Linked DNA regions of Canis lupus familiaris. The protein of the gene in region 1 purifies or fractionates together with the protein of each later gene. This does not show direct contact. Links are inferred from orthologs where the notes say so. Each region holds a gene or a part of one and is shown on either strand. Other genes may lie near its edges. The genes, in order: OFD1 and CEP20.

Region 1 (3,811 bases):
AAAAGGTTAAGCACTAAGGTTCACAAAAATGTAGTTAAGACAGTATTTTTTTATTTTGTAAAATTAAAATAACAAACAACATATCATTTTTGTAGTAACAAGATAGTGTAAGCTGTGTCTTTTTTAGAATATAGAACAGGCCCAACTAGGAAACCAACAGCCTACACATCGGCGCTGAAAAATACAGCTTGCCCCCAGAGTCACCTTTATTCTTCCTTTCATCGTCAATCAGCCTGTTAGTTCTGGCGATGTAGTCGTCCTTTAGTTCGAGTTGATACCTACGAATCAGAAGAACTAAACATGAGCTCCCTGTCACAATCCTGGATGGTCTACCATCAACACGTGAGCTTATCTATGACACCTGGGGCACATAAGGGCATCAACCACGGTGACACGTAAACCCCAGGCTCTCTCAAGACTAAAGCCAGGGATCTGAATTCTCAACATCAAAGGTCCGTCCGTAAACCTCTGCTATGATCCTATAAATTCGGTCCCAAAACTCAATCACACAAAGTGAAGGGCTCTGTTGTCATGAGGTTACTGAGAGCAGGGATTCCTCTTGGTCTCGACAGATGCCAAGAAGTAAATTAAGGTAACATGACAGACACTAAATCCCAGATGATAACCAAGTCAGTCACTTGCAATTCACCTATCCCACATCCCCTCTTCTTAGGTAAGAACTTTTGCCCTTCAAGACTGAGCACAGTATTGAGAGCACCAACTGCCAACAGCATCAGACCTGAATTAGTGGTACCCAAAGGCACATCTCAAGGGGCTTCCACCATCTCCACCAGCTGTTAGCAGTCAACTTTCTGGTTCAGAGGTCAGAGAAAGGAAATGAAAGAGAAGTGCTCCTATGATATCCCCCCAACTTCAACACTTGCTAACGGCTGAGGACACCCAAAGCCAGACAAATGATACCAAACAGTTCACTGCATCCACAGCTATGCAAAGTTAAAGCACACATTTTTCTCATTTGTCACAGTTTAACAACTAGAGTTACTTCAGTGTTTGCTAGTATGTTAGAGGAGCAGATATAAAATATGTAGATAAAATCCATTTCAAAACTGATACAAAGAAAAGGTGCTGCTTTTCCTTTTTAACAGAATTCTTTTATTTTATTTTATTTTTTATGATAGTCACACACACACAGAGAGAGAGGCAGAGACACAGGCAGAGGGAGAAGGAGGCTCCATGCACTGGGAGCCCGACATGGGATTCGATCCCGGGTCTCCAGGATCGCGCCCTGGGCCAAAGGCAGGCGCCAAACCGCTGCGCCACCCAGGGATCCCCAACAGAATTCTTTTAAACAATAACCTCCAGAAACCTTTGCGGGTACTATGTAATGGAATTCCAATGACAAATTATGAGCAAGGCAATAAAAAGGAGACCAATGACCTTAATCAGAGGAGCTGAGTGGAGTCATCTCTTCACTACACATGCATTTACTCAATTGGTATCAACTGAGCACTTATTATGTGCCAGATGCTATACCACGCACTGGAGGGAAAGTTTCCATATGGGCTTAATGTATTTGCACAAAGGTATTATTCACCAGAACACAAAACTCAGGCTATAGGAAAGCCCCAGGGACCACACTTGTCCACATTCTCCTCTCCTATGCTGTTTTTTTGCTTCATATGATTATTTGGCTTTTTTCTGGATTTTGGCTTTCCAGAACCTTGAAGGAATACAAGGCACATGATAGATAAACACTCTAACCAGGTAAGAAGACCAAAGTAGGGATCCCTGCGTGGCTCAGCGGTTTAGTGCCTGCCTTTGGCTCAGGGCGTGGTCCTGGAGACCCAGGATCGAGTCCCACATTGGGGTCCCTGCATGGAGCCTGCTTCTCCCTCTGCCTGTGTCTCTGCCCTCTCTCTCTCTCTCTCTCTCTCTCTCTGTGTCTCTCATGAATAAATAAAATATTAAAAAAAAAGACGAATGTATACATTATTGCCTATCCCCATCTTAGTGCCAGTATGAGGAGAAAACAGAACAGAAAGTGATTTTAATTCCAACTTTACAGCTGCTTAGCCGTGCAAAATGAGCAAGTGCTAAGGTTCCCTAAAAATTGAAGCAAACCTTAGGCCCTCAGTAAGTGTCAGAGAAGCTACAAATAAGAATGAGCAGAGGATGCCATTCTCTGTATCTTTTTAAACTCATCTTAAATAATCAAGGGAAAGGCTTGATTACTAATGAAAATATGTTTTTTAAACATTGAATTTTGCCATCATTTATCTGTCTTATCTACTTCATCAGTGTTGCCATGTTTCTAGCAACTTATTTTAACACAGGATTCCTTTAAAAATGCCAAGCAATTACTTGAGAAGTTCATTCTTGAGCTTCTGGTCATAGCTCTCCTCAATGCTCTTTATATTCAGCTCCCGCTTCCTAAGTGCATCAGTTATGCTTTTATTTTGTTCTTCTTGTAGCCTTTGAGCCCTGAAATTAGCAAAAATAGAGAAAGCAAATAAGGAAACCACGACATCTGAAGTAAGAAACTTTATGGGGAAAAAATAACTTGTGTTTTAGTTCCACAGGCTAAAACTGTAATATGGCTACCACTGCCAGGAAATAAACTGTAAGAACCTGAAGTCCTCCATCTATTTTATGAACTGACTCAGTTCATAAACAAGCAGATGGAATTACCTGGTGGCACCTGGCTAAAGGCAGTGTGAATGTATCAAGACCAAAGTGGTTGCTTATAGAAGATGATCCACACTCAAAAAGGGTTACAGGGGATAAATGGTCATAATCAATTTAGGGGTAAAAGGGTGAGGTTTTTAGTTACAAAGCTACAAACCAAACTCTAGTGTACTTAAATGCTTGTTTCTTCTAGAATATTATTTCTAACTGTGAGACTTAATTGACTAGCCCATAAGAATTATAGATAGAAGATTTGTTTCCGGCATTTAAAAAATCCATCAATTGAAGGTTGAAAAGAGTGCCAAAATAGCAAACGATGGATGAGTCCATTAGAACCTCCAAATCCGAAGAATGGGAGTGCTTTTCATGGGGAGACCTTCAATCACCCACAAAACCAATTCCAGAGCCTAGGATCAGGTTCACAAGTACTTAGTCTAAACGGTAGTGAGGAGGGCTACAAACACTCTGTTCCAAGCAAAGGATAAAGGCTTTGTGTTAGAGGATCCCTGGGTGGTTCAGGGGTTTAGCGCCTGCCTTTGGCCCAGGGTGTGATCCTGGAGTCCCGGGATCGAGTCCCACATCGGGCTCCCTGCATGGAGCCTGCTTCTCCCTCTGCCTGTGTCTCTGCCTCTCTCTCTAGATCATGAATAAATAAAATCTTTTTTTTTTTTAATGAATAAATAAAATCTTAAAAAAAAAAAAGGCTTTGCGTTAGAGCTCCCTCTCCTGACTAATCTTAAACCAAAGGAGCATTAAATCCATTTATTTCATTTAATAGACTTAGACAAGAGAAGTAGGGGACGACGAGGTAGGGAAGTGATTATATAATTATGATTATATCAAGAATCTGCCCAAATTTTGTTCCTTTTCTTTTTTCTCTCGTTATCAATGTGTCATTTTAGTATCGCCAAAAGGAGAGTAAGGTAGGCAGAGAGAAATCAAACGAACAGAGCCTATGTAAATGAAAAAACAACATTAATAAAGATGGAGACAAACTCTTAAAATCAGATTCCTGGAGTATCTATGAATGTCAAGATCCCAGATGGCAAAGAAAGCTTATTCCACCAAATATAGACTGGTGAGGGGGGTATTAATCCCAGGTAAGATTTGAAGGATGATACATCTGTGAGCACTTAGAAAAAGTAACACACACACCAGGAGAAAT
Region 2 (4,437 bases), on another chromosome or scaffold:
TTAAGAAATACACCAAAAGCCAGGTCACAACATTCTTACCCAAAACAGAAATTAAAAAAAAAAATACTTCTTTGTTTTCTATTTGTTCCATCCCATCTCATTGAAAATATGTTCATTGGGAGCCACTGATAAATAGATTTCAGAACCTACTATGGGTTAAGACTAGCAATTTAAAGGGCACTGTTCTGGGATCTAGGTCACAGGCATAGACCTTCCTGGCAATGGAAGGAATCACATAACTGGATTCCTAACTGGAAGCACAGAGTCTCACACTCAGTTTTGGGTAAATTATCTCCATTATTCCCATGTTTTTTCTTCTTCATATATTTGGGATGGTAGAGTTTATTCGTTCCTCAATTATTCACAAATAGCTTTTGGACTCCTTAGGAGCACTACCCATAATTAAGTGCCAGGGGAAGAGAACAGGCTTTGAACAGCAAGAGGCCTGGATGCAAATCTCACCTCCACCATTTGCTCATGATCTTGATTTAAGCCTTATCGGTCATCCAAGACTCCGTTTCCTCCTCTGTAAAATGGGAGTTACAGTAGAGAAATCACTGAGCCAACATATATAAAGCATTTAGCACAGTGTCAGGCTCACAGTTAAGTCCTTAACACAGTGAGACCAGCAGCACCAGCAGCACCAGAGAACTTGTCAGAAATGCAGTTCTTGGAGGGCGCCTGGGTGGCTCAATGGTTGAGCTTCTGCCTTTGGCTCAAGTCGTGATTCCTAGGTGTGATCCTGGGTTCCTGGGATCAAGTCCTGCATCAGGCCCGCTGCAGGGAGCCTGCTTCTCCCTCTGCCTATGTCTCTGCCTCTCTCTCTCTGTCTCTCTAAAATAAAATAATTAGAATAGAATAGAATGCAGTTCTCAGATCTCACTCTGGATTGACTACATCAGAAACCCCAGCGGTGGGGCCCCATGATTCCTAGGTGTGATCCTGGGTTCCTAGGATCAAGTCTTGCATCAGGCTCGCTGCAGGGAGCCTGCTTCTCCCTCTGCCTATGTCTCTGCCTCTCTCTCTCTCTCTCTCTCTCTCTCTCACTGTGTCTCTCTAAAATAAAATAATGAATAGAATAGAATAGAATAGAATGGAATGGAACGGAATGGAATGCAGTTCTCAGATCTCACCCTGGCTTGACTACATCAAAAACCCCAGCGGTGGGGCCCCGTGATGTTTTAACAAATCTTCCAGGTGATTCTGAGGCACGTTCAAGTTTGAGAAACACAGGCTTAATACTTGGTAACCATTGACAATCAGTCCCTGAGCCTGCAGCGATGAGCAGTGGGCAGAGCACGGAAGGACTGATCAACCACAGTGCAGCACTAAAGAGCCGGCAGCATCTGCAGGTGAGGTCTCTAACTGGTCTCGGGGCCGGCTCCTCCCACCTCCTCCCTCAGCACCTAGAGAGCTCGCTGATTGGTAGGATCCCTCCGGACCGTCACCACCCACCCAATCCGGGAGGGCGAAAACTGAAAGGGGCGGGACTGAGCAGCGCGAGAGGGGCGCGCCTATTGGCTGTAGACCGGCGCTGCGCGTGCGCACAGCCGACGCGCGCCCGTGACTGCCGGTTGAAAGATGGCGACTGTCGCGGAGCTGAAGGCTGGTGAGTTCGAGTGGGCGGTGTGCAGGGTGAACCGCGCCTGGTCTTCCTCCCGTGAAGAGGATGGGCTGGAAGGAGAGCGCGCGGAACACAGAGTTAGCCTTTCCGGGGGTCGCTGCGCGGCGTCAGGGCCCGCAAGGCGTCCGGCTGGCGTGGCGGCCGCTGCGCCGGGGGCGGGGGGAGGGGTCCTGGGGGAGAGAAGCGGTTGCTCGGGACCAGCTGGGCGGGTCCCAGGTGCGCCGTCGAGCCGAGGAGATGCTGCGCGACCCGCAGGTTCCCGAGAGGTCTGCAGTCCTGCTCGGTGGGCCTCCGGCGCTTTTGTCGGAGCCCTGTCGGGCCGAGGCTCTGGGCTGCCCCTTTCGTCGGGGGCTGAGGATTTCGTCCCCCTCCGTGATCGGGCCTCGGCGCGACCCCGAACCATTAGCTTACCTGTCTCACCGAAGCCTTGCCGCACCCTGCGGGTTGGGTCCCGGTCCCCGTCGGGAAGGCCTGCCCTGGCCACGCTCCTGTGGTTTTTGTTTTTTGTCCTCCCCCCCCCCCTCCCCCCAGCAAGAGTTCCGCAAAGGTGCGAGTCATCGAGCGGGATGGTGTTTGCGCACCGTTGGTTTTTAAACTTTTTTTTTTTTAAGGTTTATTTGTTTACTTATGATAGAGACACACAGAGAGAGGCAGAGACACAGGCAGAGGGAGAAGCAGGCTCCACGCCGGGAGCCCGACGTGGGACTCGATCCCGGGACTCCAGGATCGCGCCCTGGGTCAAAGGCAGGCGCTAAACCGCCGCGCCACCCGGGGATCCCCGCACCGTTGGTTTTAACCGAGGTGTCCAAGCAGCGAACAGTAGTCGGAGGCGAGAAGCGACCGAGCCTTCCGTGTCAGGCCCTGCCCAGCCCCCCTGTGTTACCCAGTGGAGTCTGTGTGACACCCTAGGCCTGTGTAGGTCGTGAGAAATGAAGGTGCAGGGAGTTGCAATAGCTCGCGCCAAGTAACCGAGCTAGAAAGAGGCAGTGCGAGGCAGTGCGTGAGAACCTGGGTTTGCTCCCCCAGCTCTCCCCACCTCCCGGAGCTCCACGTCTTCATCCCTGGGTCATACTGCTACCCGATTAAGAACACTAGTTCCGGTTTTCAGGGACCTTAAATGAGCTCTTAATGAGTCATTTTTTTTAGAAAAGATTTTATTTATTTATTCATTCATAAGAGGCAGAGACACAGTCTGAGGGAGAAGCAGGCTCCCTGCAAGGAGCCCCCATGGGGGACTCAATCCCAGGTCTCCAGGATCACGCCCTGGGCCCAAGGCAGCAGATGCTCAACCGCTGGGCCACTCAGGTGCCCCTAAAAAGGTCATTCTTAAATACCTAGTGAGGAGGGGTTGAATCTCTTTTGAGGGTAGAGTTCAGTAAGCATTGATACAAATGTGTATTTGGGGCATTGGGCTCATGAATGGTCATAAAAAAAGGCATGCCTTTATCCACAAGGAATAGTCTTTTAAGTGAATCCGAGCACCCTCTCTGCACGAAATCCATAACACGTGTAAATCAGAGGATTTTTTTTGTTTTTTTTTTTCTTTTTTATTGGTGTTCAATTTGCCAACATATAGCATAACACCCAGTGCTCATCCCACCAAGTGCCCCACTCAGTGCCCATCACCCAGTCACCCCAAACCCCCACGCCCACCTCCCCTTCCACCACCCCTTGTTCATTTCCCAGAGTTAGGTGTCTCTCATGTTTTGTCACCTTCACTGTAAATCAGAGGATTTAAAGATGCTTTGGGATATCAGGCCAGGTTAAGAACCTCTTTTTTTTTTTTTAAAGATTGCATTTATTTATTCATTAGACACAGAGGGAGGCAGAGGGAGAAGCAGGCTCCCTGCAGGCAGCCTGATGCAGAACTCCATCCTAGAACCCTGGGATCAGGATCTGAGCCAAAGGCAGAAAAAGCTCAACCACCGAGCCATCCAGGCATCCCAAGAACCTCTTTCTGAAGTTGTTGCTAGGGTACAGAGTTTTAAGCATAGTTAGAGAAAGTTTAAGACTCAGTTGGTATGCAACCTGAAAAGAAAATGTAATAGGAGATTAGGAGTGTCCTATGCAGATATATCCCTACATGTATCCTTTTATGTTTTTTTCTTCTGCATTTCCCACTTCAGAATATGCTGTGTGTTCCAGAGAAACTTTGTTTTTTTTTAAGATTTTATTTATTTATTTATTCATGAGAGACAGAGTGAGGCAGAGACACAGGCAAAGGGAGAAGCAGGCTCCATGCAGGAGCCTGATGTGGGACTCGATCCGGGATCCCCAGGATCATACCCCCGGCCAAAGGTGGCGCTAAAACGCTGAACCACTGGGGCTGCCCCCAGAGAAACTTCTTGAAAATTTATTTCCCACTCAATCATTTTACATTGTATGGGCTTTTACCTTTTTCTTTTTCCTTAAAGAGGGGCAAGTGGGAAGGAGCAGAGGGAGAGGGAGAAAGAGAATCTTGAGTAGGCTCCATCCCCACTGTAGAGCCCAATGCAAGGCTGCATCTCAGGACCCTGAGATCATAACCTGAGCTGAAATCAAGAGTCTGGTCCTTAACCAACTGAGCCACCTGAGTGCCCCTGGGCTTTTACCTTTTTAAACATTTTCACATTTTCCACCTCACTTGGTTCTGCCTCTGAGATGTAGGACTCCGTATGTTGCAGAGGGCAGCTGAGGCATAAGCTGGTGATGACACAGGATAGGCTTCCTAATTCCAGCTTCATTAATTCTCATTTCTCTGCTGAGTTTGAGGTTATGTTGCATGCAAATTCAGAGTAATTGGGGGATCTCTGGGTGGCTCAGCGGTTTAGCGC

Evidence for each region.
Region 2: the proteins of OFD1 (region 1) and CEP20 purify together in Homo sapiens (co-immunoprecipitation; 3 studies listed by BioGRID and IntAct, with this or other methods). This does not show direct contact. The link is inferred for Canis lupus familiaris from reciprocal best matches to the Homo sapiens genes OFD1 and CEP20.

The regions. Positions count from the first base shown.
Region 1 is NC_049260.1:10,215,306-10,219,116, reverse strand, and holds part of OFD1 (oral-facial-digital syndrome 1 protein), read right to left. Parts: intron 2,443-3,811; coding exon 2,323-2,442; intron 279-2,322; coding exon 205-278; intron 1-204. UniProt on the Homo sapiens protein: Component of the centrioles controlling mother and daughter centrioles length. Recruits to the centriole IFT88 and centriole distal appendage-specific proteins including CEP164. Involved in the biogenesis of the cilium, a centriole-associated function.
Region 2 is NC_049227.1:28,276,762-28,281,198, forward strand, and holds the start of CEP20 (centrosomal protein 20), read left to right. Parts: upstream 1-1,511; 5' UTR 1,512-1,581; coding exon 1,582-1,609; intron 1,610-4,437. UniProt on the Homo sapiens protein: Involved in the biogenesis of cilia. Required for the recruitment of PLK1 to centrosomes and S phase progression.